Linked DNA regions of Oreochromis niloticus. The main gene of each other region encodes a partner of the protein of the gene in region 3 in a complex. Links are inferred from orthologs where the notes say so. Each region holds a gene or a part of one and is shown on either strand. Other genes may lie near its edges.

Region 1 (7,013 bases), on a different chromosome or scaffold from region 3:
ATGTTGAGTTCCTTTAAATCACATTTAAATACCAAAAACTGGGTTTCCATCTGTGTTCTAATGTGGAAAACAGATTAAAACTAAAAACTGAAGGGTTTTTTTTTTTTTCTTTAAATTTCAGTGACATAATGTGAATTATTTCAAGTATTCTTGTTTTAACTTTTATAATTATGGTCTTCAGTCCAAAACAAATAAGTAACTGTCCATCTGTCTAGTTTGATACAGCCAATCATAATCATGAGGAAGACTGCTGATAGATGATGCTCCTGATGATGATCAGAGCATAAACTGATGAACCTTCCTGCTCTATAGGAATATAACCAGAGTACAACCAGCTGGCAGCCGGATGAGTCGACTTGCCTTCAGCTTTTAACAAAGACTCATTCAAACTGATGGCAACATGCTGGCAATCTGTCTGCATTTACAAATTAGACAGCACGTATTTACAAACCTTCGGCAATCTCTCAGAGTGTGACTGCTTATTCAAGTCGGACAGCAACTGTTTGCATAAAGGTTGCCTCCCATCAGGTACCTTGTGTAATCGCCTTACAATCAAAAAGTGATTGTTTGCTCTGAATTAGGGGGCAGCTGCGTTAAGATAAGCGTGTCCAGTGCTGGGAAAGTTTTCGGTTAAGTTTTCTCAAGATGGTCATGCATGAGTTGAGCTCTCTTGTTCAAAGTATTCCCAGAGTATGTTAACTTCTTTATTAAAATATCAGTATCTGGTGTTTTCCCCCACGCACCATCATACCTCTCTAGTACAGTCTTCTGGTCTGCTTATTTAATGTGTTGTGAGTTTGATGTGAAGCAGAGTCCAGAAGAGCACAGCTGAACACTTTTAGTGTTAAAAGAACTAGATTATCCTTACATAAATGAAGTGTACAATGACTGCAAGATTTAGCAGTTTTGTTAATATGATTAGTTTTAATAACTAATAACCTGAGTGCATTCCAGCAATGCCAGTCTACTAAATAACAACAACAGTGACAGAATGCAGGGCTGACACTGACAGCCTCACCTGAAGAAGAACATGACAGTGCAGGGGTCGTACAACTCGTACATCTTGTTGAAATCAGGTACTTCTGTGATGTCCACCAGGTAAATGACTGCAAAATTCTTAACCTGTCAAGGCAAAGTAAAAAACAAAAGTAAATACAGACAGAAAAAAAAAAAGAAGAAGAAAAGTGCTGCTCTTAGCAAAATGTTTTCCTGGACATCAAGTCAATTTTATCTTTTAAAAATTACACAAGGCCAGGTTTCTTTTTAACTTTAACAGCTCTGGGTAGCAAGGTTACATCTGGAAAATCATCAACCAATTGCTACCTCAGAGCCAAATCCTCCAGCAAAAGCCTTGGTTGTAAAATCAGCAATAATCTTCCATGACCAGTCAATGTAGTACGGAGCCTCCAGGCCCCTTTAAGAGGCATTAGAAAGTCTCAAACAAAAAAAATCTGGGTTTAAATAAATAAACAAATACTAGCTCTGTTGGTGAGCAGGCCTGTGGCCAGATAGCAGCAGGCCTGGGTTCGAGTCTGACCTGTGGCCCTTCGCTGCATGTCTTCCTCTCTTTCCCCACTTTCCTGTCTATCTATGCTGTCTCTATCCATTACAGGCTAAAAGGCCAAAAAAACTAAACTAAACTAAATTGAATCAATGGAAATTGATACAGTAATATTGAATCAAACTGCACTGACACTACAGTTATCATAGTGAAAATGTAGTTAGGTGCACTTTTTTTCCCTCTTCTTGACTTGCTGTATCCATAACACTGCTCTCAAGGAGTGACCCAGAAACATGGGTGAAGTTGGCTCTCTGAACTGAGTCATTACTAAAGTCATACTGTCTTTTATGGCTACTTTTCCTCCGGGTTTTGAGTTTACCAGTGAAAAAATAAAAATTGTTGCCACACTATAAGGACTAACATATGTCAGCAAATTACTGAAGGTAGCTTGCTGAAACTCAAAGACTTGGGAAAAACCTGAACCATGAAAACAAACAAAATGACCAAAACAAAGACTACTTGGGAGAGGGAGGGGGAAAAAGTGCCAGCATTACATTTGTACAAGTTATAGGCTCTACAAACTTTCACCTCTTAAGTTGTAATTAACAGTAAGAGAAAGACTTGCGTTTAGAAAGATTATTTGCAGGAGAGAAAAATCACTACATCCCAGAATAAGACCCCACCAAGGATGCTGTGCATATATTTTCAATTTGTAAGATTTTAAGACGTATTTAAATGTTACAATAAATGGTAAAATATTCCACGTATTGCCCTTAAAGTACTAAAATGACCTCCTCTATACTGAATTTTATCAGCTTAATAATATTACATGCATCCGGTTAAACCCCCACAAACAGCGCCCTCTACAGGAGTTCAGATAAGAAACATAAGCTAGCAAACAGTCGTCGTTGATAAACTACTCAGACCTTTTCCGCGATGCTGTAAAGAACTTCGTCCATCTTCATACATGTCGGGTCCCAATCGTGTCCGAAGCGGATAACCAGGACTCGGTCCTCCTCAGACAAGATGGCTTGGTCGACCTGCCAGCCGTTGTGGAGATGTGGTAGCATGTACGACATGTTGATCCAAAGTTTTTGATTCCTAAGCTGCAAATAAATATGTTTCATTATAACAGTAGCAAATGTGTAAATTACATTATAAATTACATCCAATAAAACCTCTGTTTTTGTTTGTGTTAGTCATAATAGGCAGTAAGCCTGCTGCTAACGGGGCAGTCTGGGTTGAGGTTAGCAAGGAAAAATCTGGAAGGAGAAATAGAGAGCCCTGCATAAAAAGAAGTGAACAAACTTCGGAAACACTTACCTAAAAACGTAAATAAATCCGTGTTATTAGGCCACGAATGTAGTGTTTGTGGTAACAATGCAATTCGTAACTCCAAGAAAGAGAAACTTTGTTGAATAATACCTCTGCTACAGCTCTTGCCGCTGTGTACTTTGTCGCAAATGGTTCGTTTCTAGACACGTGACGTCATCAATCCAGCGCCAGACGTGTTTACGTCACGTCCGTGTGTACGTTTTAGTCAGATGCAACCACATTTTAGGTTTTTCCTTAGTGAATTATGCTGTAAGACGTCCTGACCCTATTCAATCTGCTTTAGGTAACCTCTGTTTTTCATTTATGAGAAAAATGACTTCCAAAATCAGATTTCAGGAAAACACGGCATCCTTTCCAGCTGCAACATGGAAGAATTTTCTTAATATTAACTGGAACAAAGGGCATTTCCGGGATTTTTTTTTAATGGGGTGGCACAGCGGGTTGGTGGGGTGTGGAAGTCATAGGAATTCAGAAAATCCGATCAGAAACAACTTGTCACTTGTTTCTACGTTTTTCTTTTCGGGTAATTTTAGTGTTTCCACACCTGCCAAATCTCGATGTAGCCCTATAGTCGTTTTTCTATTTAGGTGTGGAGGCAAAGTCAACGCTCTACAATTTAGACAACAGCAAATACAGCTACATTTTTTACTGCCTTTGTTAAGATTTTTTTTAATAATAATAATAATATAACATGAGTTTTAATTAGTTGTCAAAAAATTCAAAGAGCTACTTTTTATTTTTGTATAGAGTACATTTCAGAGCCTGTACTTTTTAAAAAAAAACAAAACTTTTGAGTAAGGACATTGAATGGGTATGTTAATATTTACTAGAGCATTTTTAAATACAACTATCTGTATTTCTACTTAAGTGATGAATGTGTGTGAAGAAGAGGAGCAAACAAATTTCAGATATGTCAGTGCCACCACACCCCACCCCTTTAGCCCCGCCCCTGTCTGGAAGAACTTTTGGTCTTTACCAGTGATTGTAGAAGACAGGTTTATACTGTGGTTACACTGAAAAACATTACACAGTTACAGGTCCCTGCACAAAAGTACTTTCAGACAAATACGGTTTAGAAGAGCTTCATTTAAGGTGATTTACCCAGTGAAACATTTCTATAAAGGTTCGAGAATGACATAGACAAAGTACTGTGAGCTAATTACTGAAACTTGGTGCCATCTATTTTGGTCTTATCTTAATATCTTGATGCATGCTCAATCATCCGGGTAAGTAAATCCCAAAGGCTGATTCTGTGTATCTGGATGTAGCGTTTTCAGTGGGAGAAACATTTCGTCACTCATCCAAGTGACCTCTTCAGTCTCAGCTGACTGCGGGATTCCACAATCTTATAAACAGTACATTTGCATAATGACTGAAACTAGCACCACTGAAGGGACAATGGGTGGAAGGTCAGTTCCTTGATCATTAATATGCAAATTCTCATGACCATTGATCAACAACTACTGATCAAAGACCACTGATCATTGGCCATGAGTAGAGAGTTGATAGAGAGCTGAGCTGAGACTGAAGAGTGATGAAATGTTTCTCCCACTGAAAACTCTACGTCCAGACGAACAGAGTCAACCTTTGGGATCTATTTTGGTCCTTTCATTTTACACATGGGCTGTGAAAAGGTGTTCATGTTTCATAGTTGATAACATTTTATTAGATTTTATTTTTTTATTATAGTAACATTACATTTGGTTACTGTTTAATGTGACTAAGGCGCAGCTGCATTTTATCTACTATATTACATCATATCAAATGCTCCTCCTTGAAAATGTATCCAAAAGTTGATTGTCACAAAACTACAAACCATTAACTCACCAAATGTCTTTGAGTGAACTTAGATCAAGCTTATATATATATATATATGTATATATATGTATATATATATATATATATATATATATATATATATATATATATATATATACATATACATATATTATATATATATACATATATATATATGTATATATATATAATATATATATTATATATATATATATATATATATGTATATATATATGTATATGTATATATATATATATATATATATATATATACATATACATATATATAGAAGGCAACATTGCAGACATAGAGGACAGTTACAAGTACCTGGGGATCCCGCAAGCGAATGGGAACCACGAAGAGGGCGCTAGGAAAGCTGCAACCACCAAGTACCTGCAGAGGGTCAGGCAAGTCCTGAGGAGTCAGCTGAACGGTAAGAACAAGATCCGGGCCATCAACACCTACGCCCTGCCCGTGATCAGGTACCCTGCTGGGGTAATAGGCTGGCCAAAGGAGGAGATAGAAGCCACTGACATAAAGACAAGAAAGCTCCTTACCATGCATGGAGGGTTTCACCCCAAGTCCAGCACCCTGAGGCTGTATGCTAAGCGGAAGGAAGGGGGCCGGGGACTGGTGAGTGTCAGCACCACAGTCCAGGATGAGACAAGAAACATCCACGAATACATCACGAAGATGGCCCCAACTGACAGCGTGCTCAGTGAATACCTCAGGCAGCAGAAACCCAAGAAAGAGGAGGAAGGCGAGGAACCATCATGGAAGGACAGGCCCCTGCACGGTATGTACCACCGGCAGATAGAGGAGGTGGCTGATATCCAGAAATCCTACCAGTGGCTGGACAAAGCTGGACTGAAAGACAGCACAGAGGCACTAATCATGGCAGCACAAGAACAAGCTCTGAGTACAAGATCCATAGAGGCTGGGGTCTATCACACCAGGCAAGACCCCAGGTGCAGGCTGTGTAAAGATGCCCCAGAGACAATCCAGCACATAACAGCAGGGTGCAAGATGCTAGCAGGCAAGGCATACATGGAGCGCCATAACCAAGTGGCCGGCATAGTGTACAGGAACATCTGTGCCGAGTATAACCTGGAAGTCCCGAGGTCAAAATGGGAGATGCCCCCAAGGGTGGTGGAGAATGACCGAGCTAAGATCCTGTGGGACTTCCAGATGCAGACGGATAAAATGGTGGTGGCTAACCAACCGGACATAGTGGTGGTAGACAAACAGAAGAAGACGGCCGTAGTGATCGATGTAGCGGTTCCGAATGACAGCAACATCAGGAAGAAGGAACACGAGAAGCTGGAGAAATACCAAGGGCTCAGAGAAGAGCTCGAGAGGATGTGGAGGGTGAAGGTAACGGTGGTCCCCGTGGTAATCGGAGCACTAGGTGCGGTGACTCCCAAGCTAGGCGAGTGGCTCCAGCAGATCCCGGGAACAACATCGGAGATCTCTGTCCAGAAGAGCGCAGTCCTGGGAACAGCTAAGATACTGCGCAGGACCCTCAAGCTCCCAGGCCTCTGGTAGAGGACCCGAGCTTGAAGGATAAACCGCCCGCAGGGGCGTGCTGGGTGTTTTTGTTTTTTTTACATATATATATATTATATATATATAATATATATATATTATATATATAATATATATATATTATATATATATAATATATATATATAATATATATATAATATATATATATAAATATATATAATATATATATATAAATATATATAATATATATATATATATATATAAATATATATAAATATATATAAATAAGCTTGATCTAAGTTCATATATATATTAATTATATATACATATATATATATATATATATAAATATATATAAATAAGCTTGATCTAAGTTCATATATATATTAATTATATATACATATATATATAGGTATACATGCATACAGTAGTATGTTGATTTTTGTTTTTTGGACTTCTGTAAGGAGACTTTCAGGATTCCTAGAAGTTTGTTTTAAAGCTGTCTAATCTTGGTGGTAGTAAACTACTATCATCAAGACGTATTGTCATATTTTAACTTGTTATAAGATAAGAGATAAGATGGCCTTTATTAGTCCCACAGGTGGGAAATTTGTTTTGTTACAGCAAAAGTGCTTGTTGTGCTTTGCCAGAGGACATTTTCCCTCATATGAAAATACCTTCTCTGGCACGCATACATTTCATTACCAAACACTCTGTAACCAATGAAAAGATTGCAAGTCCTCAGACAAACAAATAACTCCTGGCTCTTCATGCCTCTGCTCACCCACTTCTAAATCGGTATTACACATCATCCCTGCATTTTTGTAGCTGGTAGTTTTAGTACTTACTGTCAAAAGGAATGGTGCCATTAAGA
Region 2 (7,236 bases), on a different chromosome or scaffold from region 3:
CAATGTAAATATAACTCCTGCACACTGTCTCACTTACTGCATTAGGACTTTGTAAATCTAGCGTGGAGGAGTTACAGTTAAATTGTTGTGGAACTTTTACTCTGTCACCCATTCAGGTGTGCAGAAATTTTTGAGCCATATTTTCTGTAAATAGTTCCTATTTTTTGTGTCAGGTTTTTGTTTTCACGTCAGGTAATTTCATGCAGTTTCCAAAATGTGTTTACTAGTGTCAGCTTCATTTTTGTTGTTTGAAAATCTTTAGTTTCACTTTAGTGAAAAAACACGTTTCTCAGAATAGATAATATATTACAAACACAGGAACTCAGTTTCTTTAGCCATAAATAGACATGGCCAAGATCAATTTCACACTGAGCATCAGAATGGGGAACAAAGGTGATTTAAGTGACTTTGAACATGGCATGGTTGTTGGTACCTAACAGGTTGGTCTGAGTCTTTCAGAAACTGCTGATCTGCTGGAATTTTCCAACACATCCATCCATCATCAGGGAACACCAGCCCATCCACATCAACAGTGTCAAGGTCGAAAGGGTCAGCAGCTTCAAGTTCCTTGGAGTCAACATCACTGAGGACTTCTCCTGGACCCTTCACACAGACACTGCTATCAGGAAAGCTCGCCAGCGGCTTTACTTCCTGAGGAGGCTGAGGAGGTTTGGCATGAACGCCAGCATCATCTCAAATTTCTACAGGTGTGCAATCGAGAGCTTGCTGACGAGCTGCATCACAGTTTGGTACGGAAGCTGCTCTGCCAGCAGCCGTAAATCACTACAGAGGGTGGTGAAGGCAGCAGAGCACATCACTGGCACGAGGCTTCCTGCCATTCAGGACATTTATCACCAGCGATGCCTCCGTAAAGCACACAGCATCATCAAGGACCACAGCCACCCAGCACATCAGCTGTTCTCCTTGTTACCATCTGGCAGACGTTACAGGAGTCTGTCTGCTCGGACTACAAGACTTAAAAACAGTTTTTACCACCAAGCCATACGACACCTCAACCACAACACTTAAACACACACAACACAGGACTCAGAAGCTACCCTGCAGCTTCACAAGTACTCTGTTTAATCTGCACTGGTCACTTCACTTTATTGTTATTGATATTTATATTTAAAAAGTGCAATACTGTAATTTTCTGCTGCTCATTCCTGTGCAATATCCCATCTGCCCTCCCGTCATATTTCTTTTCAAGATTTTCTTATTTAATCACTAGTGTACATATATTTATATTTATAGATACATATATATTTAGTCATCTTTTCTCTTTTACCATGTCTCTCTAATATTTTGTTCTTTACTATTTTTCTATTTGTTATTTTATTTTATTATATTATATTTTATTATATTTTTTCCTACTGTATCATGCTGCTGAGAGACCGCTGCTCGTCAAACACATTTCATTGCGATGTTGACCCTGTGCTAACTTGCATATGACAAATAAAACTGAAAACTGAAAACTCTCAGAGAATGGCTTAAAAAGAGAAAATATCCAGTGAACAGCAGTTCTCTGGGTGAAAATGCCTTGGTCAGAGGAGAATGGCCAGGCTGCTGATAGGAAGGTAACATATAACTACTCAGTACAATGAGGCTATGCAGAGGAACATCTTTGAATGTAGAACATATCAAACTTTGAAGTAGATGCGCTAAAGCAGAAGAACTACTGGTTGCTACTTCTGTCATCTAGGGAACAGAAAGCTGGGGATACACATCACACACTAACCAAAATCGGGCAATAAAAGATTCTCAACACGTTACCTGGTCTGTGGTTCAGGAGGCACAGCGAGTCATCTACTAATCGGAAGGTGTTTGGTTTGATTCCCAGTCTCCTACTCTGTGTTTCAATGCTTTGTTGATCAAGATAAGGATGGGTAAATGAGGCTTGTAGTAAGAATATAGGACTCATGCAGAGTAGAAAAGCACTGTGTAAGCACAGCCCCATTATTTCTGTTTCAGCATTGGCAGGGTCAGAATTTATCCTTCACAGTCTCCAGATCTTAGTTGTGCAATCTGCAGCAACTACGTGATGAGAGTATGGACCGTATCTCTAAGGAATGAAAGTGCTTTGCTTTAAGTGAACCTAGTTTCTATAAATTAACTCTTATTTTTAATATTTGGAATAAGACAAAATGTGCAGTTAATAGCTTGTTGATTATTTCAGTCTCAGAGATAAATAAATATCAAAGCTGAAACAAAACGCCACGCAGAGCTGAGTCGAAATTTGGGGTTACTATCTCAAAATTCATTACCTAGTGCAACTTTCAACTTACTATCTGAAATTTTGAGTTATTACTGATTAAGTCAAAATTTTGACTTACGGGCTGATTTTATTTTAATTTTTCACTAGTAGAAACAAGCTTTCGTATGGAAAAGATCATTTCAAAAGACAAGAAATAAAGAGAAGCAAACTGTCTTGTTACGTCAACTTGTTAAAATTTGCATTTAAAATGCATTTTCTGTGACTGTAATAGGACTTTTTTCTATTCAGTTTGTTACTGCATGATCTAGAAAATGTGCTATCAATTTTTAAGAACATAAAATCAAGAAATAACCACCCGAAATAAAACCGTGAACAGCACATCTTGAAGAAACAGATTGTGAGTTGTCTGGTTCTTCTTTTGGTGGTTAAAAGGGTAGAAAAATAGTCTGAATAATTTCAGTTCCAGAGACCTGAGGAGGCAGAAGCTGGGCTCTATTTCCTGTTACACCTCAAAGAAGTGAAAACAGTCCTGAGGGGAAAGCGTCAAAAACAACAGAGAATTCTTTTGTAGAAAGAGGAATTTTATAGTTGTGTAAAAATTCAGCACAAGTAAACAGATGCACTTCTTGACTAAATAGTTGGCTTGCCGTGAGAATGTTGTTATCAAACCAGTTCTGGAAAAAATTGATTTGTTTTTACAGAGAATATAACTCTTATTCCAAATAAAACACTTCTTAAGCACTCCTAAAATAATTCACACTTTTTAAGATTAAGGCAAAAGACCAGAAGCTTTAGAGAATAATTCTAACAGAATAATTGCAGAAGAAATCCCCGTGCTATCTTTTAAAAACAATGTTGTGTCATCAGCAAGTTGACTAATGAGAAATGTCCTGTTAGTGATAGAAGAGCCCTGTAAGTTGCTTGATTTTATATGTGAGCAGAGCAGCTGAGCAACAAGAAGAAAAAGATATGGTGAAAGTGGACAGCCTTGTCTGATGCCTCGCTGAACATTAAATCTGGCTGATGATCCATGTTTAAGCTTAATAGAGCAGTTGGCATTGTTATATAACTACGAAAAAAGGCAAGGCTTTTAAGTGAATGATGTAAAAACTGATGTTCAACCGTGTCAAAGGCGTTAAAACAATCTAAAAACAGAAAATAGCCATTATCTGGAATTATGTATGAGTAATTCAACATATCCAAGATAAGTCTGATATTACTGGAAATATGTCTGTTAGGTAAAAAGCCAAGTTGCTCTTCATCAGTTATTGTTTCGGAATTAGAGTAATTAATCCTTGAGTCATACTCCAGGGTAATGCATCAACTGATATACATTCATACTGAGGATGAAATAACTTATAGAACTCAAATGACAAGCCATCTGTCCCTGGTGATTTGTTATTTTTCAGCCTTCCTGTAGATTTCAAAAGGTTGAATCTGTTCATCTGGACATAGTGTTTTCAGTGGGAGAAACGTTTCATCACTCATCCAAGTGACTTCTTCAGTCTCAGCTGACTGCAGGTTTCCCCAACCTTATAAACAGTACATTTGAACAATAACTGAAACCAGCCCACTGAATAAACAATGGGCTGTGAGGTCAGTTCCTTAATCATTAACATGCAAATTGTCATGACCATTGATCAACAACCACTGATCAAAAACCATTGATCAATGGCCAGGAGTACCATTCACAGACTTTTTGACAGATAACAGAGTGTCACATAAATCCTCACCTTCCTTCCAGTTTGGGAGTGTTTTGTAAAGAGTTTAGAAAAGCCAGACCATCACTGCCTATAAAGTTTTTTTTATAATAGGATGAACAGAAATTAGTTATCATTTTCGGGTTATCAGTTACCACTTCCTCTATTCTTAAATGAGTAATTGTTTTCAATTTTGCAAGATACTTTTCTAACTTAAAAAGTATAAAGAATTCTGCTCTTCCTTCTCCAGCCACTGTTTCATAGACCACACAAATGTCCCTTCTGCTTTCCTCCTATATACTTTGTCCAGAACGTTTCTTGTTTAGTGGTTGTCGTCTATTCTATCGTGCGCATGTCTGTACTGTCTTCGCGCATGCGCAGTCTATCGCTTAGGAAGAAACGGGAAGATGTCTCTGACGAGGTGAGCTTCACGATAAAGCCTTTTGTATTTATAAATTGTGAAACTGTATTAAATAAGATATCGATTCAACTGATTGGTTTCAGGTGTATAGACTACGATTAATGTATCACACTGGTATTTGTGGTATGTACGCTGTCGGTTCTGTATCTGATTTAGTCGATCCAAACGGCTACGGCTAGCAAGTAAAAATGTCGCGAGTTCAACATTTAGCAATAGCTAGCTTATCAGCACGCAGCCGTGGTCACGATATGATGTAGTTCGTTGTGTAGACGTAGTTTAGTCAGCCGCGTGTTAAAGTTGGCTTCTCTAACATTTTCTTTTAACTTACCTTGATCATTGGCTATTTTAACTGACACTTACACGCGTGTCATAATTAACCTCGAAGCTATTTGTTGTCACTAGCGGCTAATGCTAGCCAGGGCATACAGCGCTTGTGTTACTGTTCATCACTTTGAGACTTACATGTGGATTCCTGTGTGTTCAGCTTTTTACCGGCGCCGACCCAGCTGTCCCAAGATCAGTTGGAGGCAGAGGAGAAGCTCCGGGCCCAGAAGTCCTACTCTACCGCCCTGGTTGCATCCCGTAGAGAGCCCCCTCCTTATGGACACAGAAAGGGCTGGATACCTCGCTCACTCGAGGTAAAACCTCTTGCTCATATGGGATAAGTTTCTTGTTTTGCTCACTTATGGTTGGGTCCCTTTTTGTCTAACCTCTACGGTTTGAAGATGAAATCAACCCTGAGTTTTCACAGCAAAATATGTGTTTCTGCAGGACTTCGGAGATGGAGGTGCTTTCCCAGAGATCCATGTGGCTCAGTTTCCTCTGGAGATGGGTAGAAAGAAGAAGACATCAAATGCCCTGGCAGTACAAGTGGATGCAGAAGGAAAGATCAAATATGATGCCATTGCCAGACAAGGACAGGGAAAGGATAAGGTATATGGGCATTTTATCCCTTCGACAGTTAGCAGGGATCCTCTCAACACACTCCAAGGATTTGTCTTTAAATCATAATATACAAATCAGCAATTCTCTTCTTAAAGCCTGAATAAAACCTCTCTCATGTGCATCACTTTCACACTGCCAGAAAATGACATTTAGGCTTTAGTTTATTTGCATGTCTGGCTCTGTTTTGATTTTAAAAAGTGGCATTCCTTTATTGGTTTCATTTTTCATTCTTATAGGTGATCTTCAGTAAATACACAGACCTGCTTCCAAAGGAAGTTCTCAATGAAGATGCTCCAGGACTACAGAAGCCAGATGAGGAGGCTATACAAGAGGTAAGAGCAGGTTTAGATTTGAGTACTCACTAGTCATTTTTAGAACCATTTACCAAAGAAGTAAAATATTTATATAAAGGCGTTCTCAAAACCAACAACTGCCACAAAGGGCTTTTTAGAGGTATCAATTAAAAATCTGCTAATGTCAAAGGAAAAATGCACAACGTATATTTTTGTCCCAGTAAAGTTGCTGAGCGAGTGAAACAATTTGTCATAATTAGTTTTGACAACTTTGTATTTAGACTTTTTAAACTTAATTGGTAAGAAGTGTTGGACACCAGGATGACTCTGCTTATCTTTAAGATTTGTTTTAGTTGTCATTATGAAATACAAGGTTGTCTAACAAAATTACTGATTCAAGTCCATTTAATCCTTCCTGCAAACTAAACCATAAAGGCCTAAATGAATGAATAAACAAGTAAAGAAAATATAAAGACAGTTCAGGCTTTGAGTACATCAAAGCCTGCGATGTTCTTGGTGATTGTTAATCTCCCGATTTTGCACATTGCTCAACCTTCATCAGTTTATGTTGTTTCCAGTCAGGATGCTTTCTTATTACTAAATGTTTAAGGAGTACAGTTTCTCTTGTGTCATGTGACTGCTAATAATTGCAAACAATTCCTGTATTGGATTTCTTTAATCTGGAATGTAAACATGATCATCCTTTTGTGTCCTTTGTAGCTCACAGAGAAGACCCGTGCAGCCCTGGAGAAGCAGGTGTCTCAAAAAATCGCTGCTGCCATGCCTGTAAGAGCCGCAGACAAACAAGCTCCTGCACAGTACATCAGGTATGTATTAGTCAGAAGATTATCAACACTGCACACAGTCAGGGAGGAGGGTGGGAAAGTTGACTTCCAGTTATTGTAGTGCTCTGTAGTACGTGGGCCTGAGGCCTTCTTAAACTTCTTTCAGTTCTACTCACGCTACTCTTAAATTCTTTTTATGTGGGTACAACAGCATATTGGTATAGCTTATTAACAGTAAGCTAATGATTTACACTAGCTAACATACGTACTGGAGTCTAGGAATCAACTCAGATCATCCCCCCAAAAAAATAACCTCTTTGTCCGCATCACTTTTCCTTGACTAAAATAGAAATCATGTGCGTGGGGGATCCAACCACACTTACATTAGACTCCTTAGTATTTTCATACTGGATGTCTGCCATGTGGAAACTGCAGTATCTAGAAATGTTCATCTTACACTGTTGTTTTATGAAGGTCATATATAAATGAGAACAACAAATGAAAAATATCACTTCATTACAAAGTTTGGAATTTTTTTTAGAAAAGGGACCCCGAATTTTAGAGCTGAGCATACATAATTCTGCTGCTCAACGATGGTGGGATGTTGATCAAATGGAGCATAACTGAAGTGAGCTCTGTTTTTGCACCCCAGTGCACACAGACTGAGCAACCTTTGATCATTTATGACCCAAACTGAAATGTCTGTCAGAGTACGGCTATTAATGGAGTTGTGTTAGCATGTTAGATTCATGTTTGAGTCTGAAAATGTGTGACTGCTGAAACAGCGGTCAAACAGCGGTATCTGCAGTTGTGCCACATGAACAGCATCTTGAGAGAGAATTTGCCAGTAATTATGTTTTATGCTCTTGTACACATC
Region 3 (7,522 bases):
CATATGTAGGCTTAGGCTACATGCACATTTTATACAAGGTCTGCAGCCAACACAAGAGAGGTAGCATTTAAGAATCAATGCAGTACTTACTACTGATGCCCATTACGGAAAAAAGACTGGATGGTGCTGAAATCCTTTAAATGCTGCCATCTGCACAGGGCCAAGGACTCCTCTGGAATAGTAAAATTAATTTCCAAAGAATTGATTGGTTAGTATGTGGTGATTTTAGGCCCGATTTTATCTGGTCCACAGCAGAAGGCAACATGGCAATATACTCAGGTAACCTTTTATAGTACAGAAAACCCAGGGTTTAACACTGAAATTACTTGGATAAAGCTAAACACCGCATTCCTAGTACATTCCTTATTAAATATTGGATGTTTTGAAATAAGACTGTTGGCACAAGTGAATCTCTTGTAAGTGGGAGAAGAAAAACAAAACAAAAACATCAGGACACATCAAATTGAAAAACTTTTATTTTAATAAAAAAAAAGAAATTAAAGCAACTGACTGCAAAGTACAAGATTTCAAATGATATCCAACATATCAAATTCAAGGGGGAAACAAAAACTATACAATGCAAAAATGTTAATATAGCTGGAGCAATTATCGCCTCTTCTGGAAGATGTTTCCCCTTCCCATTCCACCACGCCCTCGTCCTCTTGCAGCCACTGGAGAGCACAAAAAACAAAGATGGCATACTATCAGTTTTTAATGTAGAGTACCTCACTGAACCAGAAAAACTGTTCAGTAACCTTAATAATACATTCAGTACTTTGAGAAGTACAGTGAAGTCTAATTTTGTATCCTTAACACCCGCTTGGCAAAATATCAGCTCTATCTTAAAGGGGATGTGAAGACAAATTGAACAACAATGAAACATTTAAGTCAGTGTTTTTGACAGATCCCCTGCACCTATGACAAGACTGTACTTATTACACAAGGAACAGAGCAACACTGACAGAAAGCACTTTTCTCATGGTAGGATTTAGTTATGCTGCACAAACACAAAAAGGCAATCAATGCATGCAGTGAGTTTAAATCACCATCAGTTGCTCCCACTACTGAACATACTGACAGGTGTATCAATCCACTGCGAATTTTCACCCACCTTGTGCTTTAAGAATAGCTGCCTTGCCCCTTCCTGCACCAGATCCCTGGTTCTTGTTCTTCATACTCTTCAGCATAGGAGCATTTTTTAACATATCGGGTAAAATCAGAAAGCGGATTTTGCTGCCACGGATGTAAACTTGCTCCAGCTGTGCCACGCGGCCATCCCGATAAGTCACCGTGATATTAGACATCTGTAAGAAACAGAAAGATCATTCTTTCAACAAATGTAATCAAACTGCTCTTTAGTGTTTTATTCAAGTCAACAGTAGTTATCTAAACTTTACAAAGCCATAAAAGGAACAGATTTTTACCATCTGATCTGGGACCAATTTTTAATTAACTGGCTCTTACTAATGCAGCTACCAGATCTAGGTCTCCAGTACTTGATTAGCACAATTCACTCTTATTTTGACACCATCAGGTGGAAAGCTTGGAAACCTTTAAACAACTACGGGGGAAAAAAATAAATATAAACAAAAAACTAGAAATAAATGTTATAATTAAAATAAAAACACCACAAATTGAACCTGAACATTCAGATGTCCTTTTACATTTACCTAAAGGGAAAACAGAGAGACGCAGAGAACAAAGACACTATTATTTGTAATGCAATTCCTTTTAGCCTCATTAAGCTTTTCTATCGGTGTTGCCTTACAAGACCTTAAGCCATTTAGGGGCATTTACCTGAAAATAAAGTAAACAAAACTTGTTCAAATGATCAAGCAGCCTATTAAAGACTAAACTGTTGATTACTCTAATTAAGGGAGGAAAAAAAAAAAAAAAAAAATATCATAAAAACAATACAGTACCAACAGTTTGGTTGATGGGACCCCCGTAAGGAGGAGCACCATCCACATTCACTTTCCACTCTTTATCATGTACTGACCTGGCAGTTCATGTTGTCCTCTGCTTCGATCAGCTTGCCTCTGTAAACCTCTCCAGTGTTGGTCTCACAGGTCACAATGTGGCCTTCTGCCTCATGCAGGACCTTGATTGGAACGCCGATGGACATTTTTCAAGAATGTTTCTGGAAAACAAAATTTAGCAGAAGAAATGTTACACTGTGCACATTCACAGGCTGTAAGCTCCTGGAAACGCATTTTTTTTTTTTTTTTTCATCAAACATCACACTTAACTGTAACCAAACTGTATGGCTAACTGGCTTGTTAATTTTGCGATGCGTTTAGTTACAGAAACACCAGAGAGGCAATCAGGAACCATTTCACTTGTCCACACATCATTATCCTCGCCAATTTATTTTTCACTCGAGTACTGCCTGTGTAACGATAATCAGCTCTCTTATACTGTTTAAAGAGTTGCTGGGAGTTAATATATAACAATCAGTGACCCTCGTTAAGATGGGATGAGCAAGCTACAGTTAACTTCTGATCAATAAAGCGAATCTCTCAGTCAAATCATTGAATATCGAAGCTGCGAGAGGAATTAGCCTTCATTAGCGAGCTAGGCTAATGGACAATAATATATCCTGGTTGCATACAATAATGTAACCCAATTAATGCCATGTGTAACAAATTAAACTTAAAATGACACAAATACGATTTCAACATTAACACTTGCCTCTTTATTGCAGTAATAAGTTATTAGTTCGGCAAATAGACGGAGCCATATTGGCTCCTGAACGAACGCGCTTGATTCACACGCACAAGAAACAAACAACGCTGCTAATGAGCATGGAAAAAATTTACAGTCTCAGTTGAATTACGAGTATTTTTGTTTCTTACCTGGAGTCTATCGTAAAAGCTAGTTTCTTTGTTATTGCTTCTTCTTTTGACGTTGCAACGTGCGCCAGACGCGGTTCCCTACCTTTTGAGCCCTTTTTCCGCCTTCCCACAATGCACCGGCGGTTCAATCGAATGCTTCCTGTGATGCTCTGCAGTGCATTGTGGGATCTGTATTTTTATGGCTTTACGGGTTCACAAGGAATTTGGATACACCGATTGGCGAAAAAAAATGATACATCAAGTGATCATCAGTAGATCTTTGATAGATGCCATTTATTGTATTTTTTTATTATTTCATAATATGTCATTGTTTGTCATATAAGTTGCAGGAACTATTCTCTTTTTATTTGATGGGTTATTTTTTTTCCAATGTGTTGACTGATTGTCTCTTGATGGTTGGATGTTTTGTATTGTTTTATCTTTAGACCCAAGGGACAACTAGTGTGAATCGGAATAAAGAATAAAGAATGAGCAGATATTCTAGCCTGTCTCTCATCAGCTATCTGTGAATCTAGTCATACTGTTATTATTACAAGTAACAAAGGCTATCGTATGTGGGAAATTCCGTCCCGAAAGTACACTTTTACAGTTACCATTCACAGAACAGAACAGCATCAAAGTAGCTCCCTGCAGGCCGTGGTGCACAACTGAGCAGCTGGATAGATTCAGCAGAGTCTCCAGCTTGAGAAATAGTTTGCTCTCAGATTCTCTGGTAACTTTTTTTAAGTGATACAAGAATCACCAAAACACAAGTTTCAACATTAACAGTAAGGATGGTGACCCATTTAGCCAGGCTGCAAAGAAAAAGTCACATCAGAAGAACTAAGATTTGAAAAAAAAACCCCAACAACAACAAAAAGAATGTACTAACAAATTTAAGTTTGAGGGGTTTAAAAAGAAGAACATCAGAGGTGTAGAACAAAGGATGCAGTACTTGCAATGGTTACACGGTGCATTGGTGGAGGTGGGTAATTTATGAGGCTGACTGAAATCATCAGCCAGAGAGGGAATGCACAGAGTATGACTCTTTAAATAAACACTGTGGTCTCTGCTGCAATAAATCTTTTGTTACCGAGTTTCTGCTAATTTGCATTTCTTTCTAAAAGATAGCTTAATCCTTTTGCATGCCGGTGTCACACATGTGTAATTTATGGCAGCATGACACACTATAGAGGGACACACTGGATTGTTTTCCTCCAGGTCATCATACCACAATGGCCCCTTATCTTTGTTATTTTTTATGACTCAGCTATGTAATATCCATAACCAAATCATTTTGATAACCCTTATCTCATGCTTATCAAAATATCATAACATGCAACAAAAAAACCATTGAAATGAAATGGTTTCACCCATTTTAATTCCCCTCTTGCATGATTACAATGCATACGTTTAAGTTTATGAATAAACACAGTGCAAGTTAGATACGTACCCGTATTCCTGGAGACCTCTCTCTGGGATTGCTTTAAGGCACATAAAAACTGGTTAATGTAGGTCTTTGCCACAGTGGAAGAGCTTTTTAATGAGGGAAGGGAAAGCATTATGGGATAATAAAAGACACCATCAAATGAACCATCATTTGATTTCCATTGCATTAGGCTCATTGACTGGCGTCAGTGCCAGGCTGCTCTGTAAACATTTCTTACAGAGTGGTCTGTGGTCATGTGTATGTACTTTACCTAGGTATGTGTGTCCTTTTCATAGTGTGATGCAAGCAAGCCTTACTCTGAAAGCATCTACAATACAGGCATATGGGGTCATATCTGTACAGGCAAACAAGCTCTTTGTTTTGGATGGTTCGTAAACAACAGTGAACATGTGTTGCCTGGCACTGATCAAATCGCTGATCACAACAGCAGCAAAACAAACAGAGTTTTAGTTGTAAGTCTTGTGATGTCATCACACTTCTCACTTGTAGAGCTACAACTGAGGAAGTGGAGACTGTCAGAAAACAACTACAGCTCCTTACACAACAGAATCTGCTACATCCCACATCAGATTTGCACACTGTTAGACATCTCCACATAGGATACCACATATTTTAAATACAAAAAGGTTTTTCTACAGAAAAAATCCTAGATGTGCCACGGGCAGGAACCTCTATCCAACCTCAGCCATTGTAGCCAACCTCTAATAAAGCTCTGGTCTTCCTCAGAGGGATTGCACCTAGCTACTGGTACAGGTATGTGGATGATCCTCAGACTTCAGACTAGCCACACCCTCAGACAAAAACTGGTTCATTCTAAGAACAAAACTCCCAAACATAAGGCCAGGTTTATAGGAGGAGTAAAGGAGGCCTTCTATTGCCATCTCGTAGCAGGTTTGTTAGAGAAACTCATGAGAATTTCTTCTAACCATGATATTATAGTGCACTTCAGACCCAGCAACACCCTTAGAGAAAAACTGGTTGATCTCAAGGACCAAACTCCCAAAAACAAACTGAGCAACATAGCGTATGCTGCGCAGTGCATCAAGGAGAAACCAAGCAGCCACTTGTGAATGACCATCATTGAACAGAGGTGGTGCCTTACGACACTAGCTATCAGCCACCTACAATGCAGTCTTGAGATCCCTTCCCAGGTGCTTTAACCCCTACTCATACCTTCCCTGAGATGATCTCAATAGGTCACATAATAGGGTGGGGCACAGTCTCTGAGTGGTTTCCCCCATAACCCCTGACGATGACCCACATCTTTTTCACACTTTGGCTCATGTGATGACTCGCATGATCAATATTGGGTCAACAACCACCTCCAAGTGGACAACCCACACTAGGGGCTAGTATGGTCTACCACACATCCTGCCATGTGACCTATTGAGGTCACTTCAGCCAAGGTGTTTTTAGAACAGGAGAAGCCTGTTGGATGAGAGGTGAAACATCTTCACAACTTAAAGAAGTCTAGTTTTCTTCTCTTTTCAAGCTCTTCAGAGTATCATAACCTGGATGAGTGACAAAGTTCAGTTCAGTGCTGCAGCACAAAAACACCACAAAACTGTGACATATTTAAAGATGTTTAATTTTGATGGCATGCAAACAACACAGATAGCAAAAACCTGCACATTACAAAAAGTATATTATCTTTAAACGTTAAAGTGCACATAAAACAAAAAGAAACTCCAAACTAAAAAAAAAAAAATTTACATAAAAAAACAGATTTGCTGTCGAGGCTGATTTGCTGAAATTTCACGTTTGCAGAACGTTCTGTGTGTTCTGAGAGCAATATATTTGAAATAACTAAATGTCTTTGTCATGATATTTCTGTGATTTTTGAAGAAAGGGAACAGTCATTCTGTTTTAAGGGGAGTGCCTGTACATTTACAAAAGTAATGCAGCTTCCTCTGTCTTTCAACTCCAAGATATCTGTTGCTCCTCCCAGATATGTGGCGGACGCTGCTGCTTCCTGTGCAGAAGATGCCAAGATACCTGGCTGATGCTGTACTTCTGATGGGGTGCCAGTTGCTTTTTGGTGTCCGTTGGGTGTATTACTGTTAGGTACAGAATCTAAACTCTCATGAGAGGCATTTGATGTAGTTTTCTCAGCACTGGACTCGAGAACATAACTATTTACCATTGTGCCACATGATAAATCCTCTTTACTCGTACGGGCAGATGTCTGCATGATACTAGTGCTCCTTACACCTCTGCCATCAGCACTTTCAACCCCGAACACATGCCCATCCCTCTTTCCCAGGATGTGCTGATAGAGAATCTTGCGAAAGGTATATCTGAACTCTCGAAGGCGGTAGGCGTAGATAAGGGGATTCACCACAGAGTTGGCATGGGAGAGAATGATTGCAATGTTCATCACCCAGATGTGTGGGCGCTCACAGCCCTGGCAAATATGGTTGATGCAATTGATAATATGCACAGGAAGCCAGCACAGAGCAAACAAACCAACGATAATAGCCAGCGATTTTGCAGCGTGTACTTCCTTCTGCAGAATCGAACGAGATGAGCCAGAAGATGGAGTTTTCTGTCCGGGAGCAGGTACGTGTGCAACTTTGAGGCTCATCAGTCGAAGCTGTCGGCGGGCTGCCATGAAGATATGGATATAGATGACCAACATTATCACCAAGGGCACCAACACGCAGCCAAAGAAATTGAAATAGACCATATAGTCAAGGGGAACCACTCCCTCAAACAAGCAATGAGTCATTCCTTCAGGGCAGCCTTGGCTTTTGGTGGCAGTGGTATTGGAGTTCCAACCTGTGTAAAGAAAACAGTGATTTATTGCCAGTTTCATCCAAAAGCAAAATTATAGGGTTTCAGTTCAGTTTTCCTAAACAATCTCCTCAGCAGTTAGGACCACTTAAACATGCTTAAATATGTAACTTAAACATGAAAACATAAATAAATAAATGTATGCATGTCTCTCTTGCCACTGCCCGTGCAAATAAGAACACGAGACCTTTCTAGAAATACATCGTTGTTGCATTTATCCATTTATACTATACAATGCAATAGAATTGTTGTAATAAGCAGTAAGAAGATATACAGACGGAAGCGGGGCATCCTCCCTTACACAAGAATAATGTTTGCTTGTTTGTATCAAAACGCCTCCTCTGGATGATTTTGACTACGTAAAGGAAGGTTGTTTCATGTTTCACACAGCATCAATGCCTTTCATTGATGCTGTGTGAAACATGGAACAACATGAAACAACCTG
Region 4 (7,357 bases), on a different chromosome or scaffold from region 3:
TCACTTCGCACTGCCACACACAGAAACAGCATTACTATCAGGTAATCAAACTTCATTATAATGGCAAGACAAAGAGAACTGCATGTTTCACATCTAGTTTAATCAGCTTTGCTCCTTTCTCCACTGCCATTGATCGTTTCTCTACTGGGTCAGTTCCTAATTAGCAGGAGGTCCCCATATGTGAAAGCACTTGAAATAATTACTAACGCTCAGCAACAGTGACTATAAGTGTACCTTAGAAAGTTTCATATACACATCACATTTCCTGTTTCATGAAGTAGTGAGAGAGAAGTAAAGTAATTTAACTACAAAGAATGCAATGTTACCAATCGATTAATGCATGAATGACTTCATGAGATATACTAAATATACACTACAGAAGGACAGCAAAACTACTAAGAAATATCATAACTAACAATTAAACTTCAAAAACCCTCCAACAAGACTAACTGGAAACCTGCTGGTCCTGAACACCTCGGACACACCCACCAGCAATGATTCAATGTTTGATGGGGAAATCCTCCCTCAGGGCAGAGTGCCACTCCTCACCCCAGAGAAGTGATGCTCTGAACAGAAATGCATCCATTACTGAGCTTATTCATCCTGAATTGAGTTTATTTTTCATTTATATTTTTAGGCAGAGAGCGAGGAGCTGACATTAAACTATTCTTTTGGTCAATACAGACAAAGTAAATTTCAAATGTAGGAAATATTTCTAAAAATCCAGCTTTCAACTTGTTCAGGAAAACCTTTGGAGTTACAGCCTGGACCCCCAAACACTTAAGCCAGTATGCTTAAGTACTTGGGGTGGGTCCAAAACAGTGGACCTACATGGCACAGTGACAGAGGTTCATGAAAGCAACACCCGCACAAGTGGAACAGAAAACTGCTTAAAGATTAAAGTTAGATTAAAGTTATAGTTTTCACACAGCTGAATAAACGTCACACAGAAAACTGATTAAACAGAAGTGTGAGATGGTCGAGAATTTACTCCAATGTCCTTTTATATTTTAGAAAGCAAAGAACAGATGGCTGAGTTCATTATTAAACTTCACTGAGACAATCTGCAAATTTCATTAAAAGTTTAATTAAACTATCATCTTGTCTTTGTTTTTAGTTAGCACATACCTTAAACACTTCAAGCTGTAAGCTAATGATAGTTATATAAGAGCAGATGCATGCTGGTGCAATAAGATGCACGTTTTACGTCCAATGGATGCATGATCTGATTAGTCGACTAATCATGCAGTTACACACTGAATAATCGGTGACTAGTCAACTATCAAAATAATCGTTTGTGGCAGCTCTACCTTACATTAGCCACATCTTTAAAGTGTCTATGGATGTGCATGAAATGTCCAATTTTGTCCCATCTCGCAGTGGACCAAGCTCCACATTTTGTGGCATTTTCATACAAATCTGTCCATGAGTTACTATGTAATCCTCCAAACAAACACACTGAGCCAACTGCAAAACATGTTAGGGTGCAGATTTGTAATGTATGTGCCAATGTTTCTTAATGTACTGTTAAAAATAAACTTTGCAGATGTAAGGAATTAAAAAAACATGCTTTCAATGTTTTTAATCAGGCTCATTTGTGCATTTTTATTTGTATTTACATGCTTAAAATTAAGTGGGAAAATATAAGTAAACATATTTCTGTGTGATGGATGTTCCTGCTGCATTACTGATTAAGGTTTCCAATAAAAAATACATGTAGAAGTCCTCGAAATCCTGCCAGGCAAGCAGATGGACAGCAGGTGAATAAGAGGAGGAGGGCGGTTGTGAAAGAGAGGCAGAGAAACGGATTAAAGAGCCAGGAACCCAATCTTGTGCCGCCCAGCAGGAGATCGCTGACCCTTATCAGATAACCTCCATCACCTCCATCCCTGAGTGCAGGCCCATTAAAGGCAACAAAGACTGCAAACTGGGTGCTTTGCCAGGGCTTTGGTCTCATCTTTACATCAGGAAAGCTGTTGTTTTATCTTTGGGCTTGAGCAGCAGCTGTTTGCAAAACCGCAGAAAGAAAAACAGATGGAGAGCAGAGACAACAACAACACCACTGAGGAGGAGGAGGAAGTTCAGTGTGTAACTGCACATTTAATGAAATTTGAATCAGCAGCAGAAGAAGAACAAAACAACAATGTGAGGAAAAATTAGAATCAGTAAAGCGGGGGTGTTAAGCTCACTTTACATTAACGGCCACACAGAGTTCAATTTGGTCTTAGGTGATGATTTGTCAGACAAATTATTTTCACAATTAAACAACTGCTACAAATGTGAAATCTTGTAAACCTCCTCGTTGGAGTGTCAAAAAGTTTCATATGCAGTAAAAATCCTTAAAAAGATTTAAAAAAAAATTAAAAGGTAAACACTGAGTGCTCCTGCCCCTCAGCAAGCTTCTGGAAGTCAGCCAATCAAGAGATAGCAAGCTTAAACAGAAGGGGCTCTTTTTAAAGAGAGACTTTGTTTCAAACTGACAAGTCGTGTAAAGGGCCAGTGCAAGATCGAGCAGGAGTTTTTAAAACTTTTTAGTGCAGTCCTAGAATAATGAGTCAGTAATGCCTTCTGTCTGTCTTGTCAGCTGGGCACAAAACATATTTTTCGCTTTTAAACAACAACAACTCCTATAATAGTGACAGTTAAGTGTCTTCTTTTTACCAAAAAGGCCCTAAAATATTAAGTAAACAATGACATGATACCAAGAAAATGTTTCTAAACAGCTCAAAGAAAACCTGAACTGATCGATTAATCGGCTTGTTGTTCCATTTTTGTGCATACCCAGACAAAAGCAGGGTCCAGGAGAAGTGATGATGAGTATGCTGCAGCCTGAGATGAAAACACTGAACTGCTGGCAGCAGACCTCGTGTTATATAACCCTGGGAGCCCACAGCAAACTGCTGTTCTTAACCCCTCTTCACTGACAGGGAAGCCAGGCAGTGAGAAGTCTGTAGTTTTTACTGTTTTTATGTTTATAAATGTCCGCATTACTGCAGGACTGTGCATGCGCTGTTTAAAAAAACAAGCGCATATTAGAGATGTAAGGTGACACTCGTACCGTACAGAAGTTTAGTGAAAATGCACCTTTATGTCAACTCAATGTGAGGACTTGGTTAGCAGTTAGCCGATGTTAGCTGGGAGCAGAGGTTCACGTACCTGGCAGCCTTTTTTGTGGTGAAATCCAACCACCACGATGTGCAGCACCGGCCCCTTCCCTTCGTCTCTGCCCTGAGGCTCCATCCCCGCTGCTGTACCCGCAGTCTATCGTTGTTTTAACTCCGGAATTGGATGTAAACACAGATAACCGAGGCCGACTTTTCTGTCTGTATCTCCCTGAATATGTGACACAGACAGACGGCAGCACCGCAGAGATGATTTTCTCTTCCGCTTAGTCCTCACTGGCCAATTGGGCAAGAGCATCCCCCGCAGCGCACTTCCGTTTTCGCTTACCGAAATTTAAGCTTACAGCTAATTGCCCCCCCAAGGACAGTCTTCAGTTAAGTAGAGTCAATGGAGCAAATTTACTTAGACAATACTTTCTTAAGTGTGCAGACAAAAGCCAACATTTTATTACAGTTTTCAAAATTTCAGCATTGATATTAAATTCAACTTAAAATAAAATTTAGCTAAGCTGTGCTTACTAGCTTTTAGCTGACTAACTGTTTAGTTGCCTATCTTATTCAATTACTTTTTAGCTAACTATCAAACAATAATTTAGCTAGTCATATTTTAGCAGACTAATTAGCTGTTAGCATACAATTAGCTTTTAACTGGCTAATCAGCATTTATCTAATAACCTTTTAGCTAATCCCGTTTAGGCTAACTAATTGGCATTTAGCTACCCTACCTACCCTACCTACTTTCAGTGTTTTTCGTTATGTAACAAAAGTTGAGTTATAAACATATACAACAGGAAGGCGTGTATAAATTACTAGAGATTTCCAATTGTATAATGTTATTAATATAACGTAATAAAAACATTTAAATGACCGATTAAAGTTTTAATTCACTGTTGACCAATGTAACATAATATAATAAGATAACAGTTAACAATTATATTGAGTGTATTTTTTGTCTTAAGCAGGACAAAATGAATGTAAAGGCTTTAAATGCAATCAGGCTGAAGTTCTTTTGGAAAAAGTCACGAGTTGACTAACATTTCCTTCATATTTTCCTACATTTCAATCTGGAATTTCCTTGGATGTTATCAGACATCTTGCCCTAGAATAAAGTCCGGATAATCTGCCGTTAAAGACTAGATAATTAGCTTAGTCTCTTGTGTTTCGAGCTCAATAGAAAACGTGCATGTCACCTTAAATTCCACCTGTCACGGTGAAATAAAGCATAACTATCCACGGTCAGATTTTACAGGGGTGAATTATCTTGATCTCTGTTCTGTTCTCTTTTTTAAACACAAAAATGATGTCATGTGTTCCTCGACACAACCTGCGCCATCGTGTGGAGACATACAGAATAATTTAATATCGTCCTCAGGTGTGTGTGTGTTTTGTTTGAATTTAAAAAGAAGTGTATTATATTTGGTTCCAACCATGAATGTTTGAATTTCTTTAAAAAGTAGACTGAAGATGTTTTTTGTTTCTCCAGAGACGAAATTGTTCTAGATTGATTGATCTTGTCTGGCTGCCACTTCGGTTCTTCTGTCGATTACTTCTGGCTTTGTAGAGGGAAGTCTCTTGATTGAACATGTCGGCTACAAACCCGTCGCAGCTGCTCCCGCTCGGTTTGTAAAATCTCTATGATGCTGTGTTTTGTTCCTGACGTCTGTGGGTTTAAATGAGGCTGTTCCGAGTCATCGTGCGGCGGCCGCAGTTTAAGCCGCGGCTCACTGAAAATCATTTTCTAGGCAGATGTTTGCTAGTTAGCATTAGCATCACGCCGGTAGGGAGCTAACGTTGCGGCTTTACTCTCTGCAAGCACAAACAAAATGCTTCTTATTTGATTTAGTTTGTTTATTAAAGTGTCAGAGGGGAGTTTCTAGCTGAAAAGTTAAAATAAAAAAAAAAACTATCATTTTTGTAATGGTGATTTAAAGAAATAATACGAAAAAAAGCTGCTTTTATCTGTGTCAATGTGTTACATTGCACTTAATGAAAACGTAATTCACAGATTTGCCCTGGCATGTTCAAAATACATTGTCGTCCTTTTATTTCTATTTAGTTATAGGTGATGCTTTTTAAAATATGTGTTTGCATATTTGTAATCCAGTCAAACTTCTATTTTTTATTTTATTTTAAGGGGATCGGTTTAATGTTATATCCATGTGACTAGGAGGCTATTATTAAATATTTATGGTATTTCAAAGGGTTAACTGTTGAGTCCTTAAGAAAGATAGACACCAGTTAATAAAGCGGTTAAGTGAAGTGTAAGAAGTAGAAACACCCACCTGAATTACAGGATGTGTAATTTCTCTGTATTTTTCCTTTTGCAGAGCTTGTGGACAAATGTATCGGCTCCCGAATTCACATCGTCATGAAAACTGACAAAGAAATTGTCGGCACCTTGCTGGGCTTCGATGACTTCGTCAGTATCTTTTAATTAAAACGTGTCCAAATGAGCGAGTTAGTGCACACCTAAACACCAACAATTTACAAAGTGTTACCGATGTTACTGTATTGTTCTGTACACACCATAAACTGTTTGAAATCATCCATGCTGTGAGGTGGAGCTGATGCAATGAGAAGCAGTGAACTATCGTGCTGCTTTTTGTTTCTGTTTTATTTAGAAATGTGAGAGAGGACACTTGCAGAATACCATTGGCATAAAAAAAAATGTGTAGATCTGTACAATGGGGGACAAATAGACTGATCAAATAATTTAAGGAAACAGTCAGTCATCACAGTACAACACAGAGTTCAACGTCAGGCATGTCAGTCTGTCCAGGTAGGAGTAATAAACCATCATAAATCTATTTCTGCCAAATTGGTGCAAATTAAAGTAACAACAGGTTGTGAATTTGATAACTTAAGAGGGAAGTCAGCTAGGATTTTCAAATTGATAACATAGGTGCACCTTCTAAAAGTCTTGGAGTTTGAATCTCGGTGACCTTGACTTCAAGGTCAGAGTAAGTTTTGTGAAATTCTTGTGAATGCGATAACTTGAGAATGAGGGGACATAGGATTTTGAATTGATACCACAGTTGTGTCTACTAGGATGAGGAGTACCGCTGGTGGCCGCCAGTTAATTAATGAATTAGTTAATTAATTATTAGGGATTAATAGGAAGTAGAAAGGCTTCTGTAGATGGGCGCTGGTACTGCTCACGTCCACGTCTCCACATCCTCCTGCTCGTTTGTGTAAACCTTCTAGCTTTTAGCTGCACTTTGATGTCTCTTTACTGTTTATTGTTGCACAGTTTGTCTTTAACTGTGTGTGTCAGACATGGTCCTGGAGGATGTGACAGAATTGTAAGTACTCCTGTTACATTTTTACTCTAACTACACCTTTTCTCGGGTTCACTGCTGACTATATTTATAAATGAATGTGTTGCAGTGAAATCACACCAGAGGGGAGGAGGATAACCAAGCTGGACCAGATCCTCCTCAATGGCAATAACATCACCATGGTAACCAAACAAACATCTGATCATGTCCTATAATCCCCCGTGTTTTAAACCTTGACAGGATGATTTATGGCGGCATATTTTCTCTTCTGCAGCTCATCCCCGGTGGAGAAGGACCAGAAGTATAAATGGCTGGAGGCCGGTTAATCTTCCTGTGTTGCTGTTCCTGACTTTATTATGTAATTATTATTGTTGATGTCTTGTTTTTTCTTTGGGTTTTTCCCTCCTGATCCTGAATGAGAAAGATATTTTTGTAATAAGATTCCTCACTGATGAGAGGTGCACATGCCGAAAAGTTTTTCTTTGTTAAAAATAAATCTGAGGATGTCACACAGTCTGAAAAACACTTTTCTTTATTCATTCTTTACCACACAACTTAAAATTTAGTGCAAATCTTGGTATAAAACCAAAGTGTTACCATGAAACAGCAGAACTAAAAACCCCCCATCCAGTTGTTTATGTATTTATTTTAAATGTTTATCAAACAAAGAGCCGGATACTTGATTGATATTGAGTTTAGCAGGTGATCAATGCAGCTGAAGGTTGTTTAAATTCATCCCAGTGGCTTTTCCCGTTCCCCGGGAGCCTCAGTACATCGAGGGCTTCTCCTCTCCTTTTGGGTTGGTCACCTTCTCCAGGTTTTTGCTGATGATGTCATAAAGCTCGGCCTGAGGAAAACAAGCAGAAATGCAGGTAAATAATCGACTTACAGCAGCTAAAAATACATTGTTAGTGATTAAACTATTTGAAAATCAGTTTTTCAATCTTATAGAAAAAC

The links.
Region 1: snrpd3l (region 3) and txnl4a share a complex: the UniProt entries of both Homo sapiens proteins name them as parts of the U4/U6-U5 tri-snRNP complex. The link is inferred for Oreochromis niloticus from reciprocal best matches to the Homo sapiens genes SNRPD3 and TXNL4A.
Region 2: snrpd3l (region 3) and snw1 share a complex: the UniProt entries of both Homo sapiens proteins name them as parts of the minor spliceosome. The link is inferred for Oreochromis niloticus from reciprocal best matches to the Homo sapiens genes SNRPD3 and SNW1.
Region 4: snrpd3l (region 3) and lsm5 share a complex: the UniProt entries of both Homo sapiens proteins name them as parts of the U4/U6-U5 tri-snRNP complex. The link is inferred for Oreochromis niloticus from reciprocal best matches to the Homo sapiens genes SNRPD3 and LSM5.

What each region holds. Positions count from the first base shown.
Region 1 is NC_031985.2:28,337,928-28,344,940, forward strand, and holds the start of txnl4a (thioredoxin-like protein 4A), read right to left. Parts: upstream 3,001-7,013; 5' UTR 2,825-3,000; intron 2,608-2,824; 5' UTR 2,581-2,607; coding exon 2,428-2,580; intron 1,123-2,427; coding exon 1,019-1,122; intron 1-1,018. UniProt on the Homo sapiens protein: Plays a role in pre-mRNA splicing as component of the U5 snRNP and U4/U6-U5 tri-snRNP complexes that are involved in spliceosome assembly, and as component of the precatalytic spliceosome (spliceosome B complex).
Region 2 is NC_031980.2:2,829,143-2,836,378, forward strand, and holds the start of snw1 (SNW domain-containing protein 1), read left to right. Parts: upstream 1-4,231; 5' UTR 4,232-4,322; coding exon 4,323-4,336; intron 4,337-4,820; coding exon 4,821-4,974; intron 4,975-5,107; coding exon 5,108-5,269; intron 5,270-5,517; coding exon 5,518-5,613; intron 5,614-6,294; coding exon 6,295-6,401; intron 6,402-7,236. UniProt on the Homo sapiens protein: Involved in pre-mRNA splicing as component of the spliceosome. As a component of the minor spliceosome, involved in the splicing of U12-type introns in pre-mRNAs.
Region 3 is NC_031972.2:24,898,359-24,905,880, reverse strand, and holds snrpd3l (small nuclear ribonucleoprotein D3 polypeptide, like), read right to left. Parts: upstream 3,014-7,522; 5' UTR 2,856-3,013; intron 2,141-2,855; 5' UTR 2,126-2,140; coding exon 2,000-2,125; intron 1,305-1,999; coding exon 1,112-1,304; intron 672-1,111; coding exon 607-671; 3' UTR 459-606; downstream 1-458. Other genes in the region: adora2ab (adenosine A2a receptor b), read right to left, coding at 6,104-7,062. UniProt on the Homo sapiens protein: Plays a role in pre-mRNA splicing as a core component of the spliceosomal U1, U2, U4 and U5 small nuclear ribonucleoproteins (snRNPs), the building blocks of the spliceosome.
Region 4 is NC_031974.2:8,915,204-8,922,560, reverse strand, and holds lsm5 (U6 snRNA-associated Sm-like protein LSm5), read left to right. Parts: upstream 1-4,357; 5' UTR 4,358-4,494; intron 4,495-4,605; 5' UTR 4,606-4,704; coding exon 4,705-4,741; intron 4,742-4,780; exon of another isoform or gene 4,781-4,899; intron 4,900-5,449; coding exon 5,450-5,545; intron 5,546-6,396; coding exon 6,397-6,424; intron 6,425-6,509; coding exon 6,510-6,582; intron 6,583-6,674; coding exon 6,675-6,707; 3' UTR 6,708-6,923; downstream 6,924-7,357. Other genes in the region: late secretory pathway protein AVL9 homolog, read right to left, coding at 3,157-3,240; psme2 (proteasome activator complex subunit 2), read right to left, coding at 7,167-7,247. UniProt on the Homo sapiens protein: Plays a role in pre-mRNA splicing as component of the U4/U6-U5 tri-snRNP complex that is involved in spliceosome assembly, and as component of the precatalytic spliceosome (spliceosome B complex).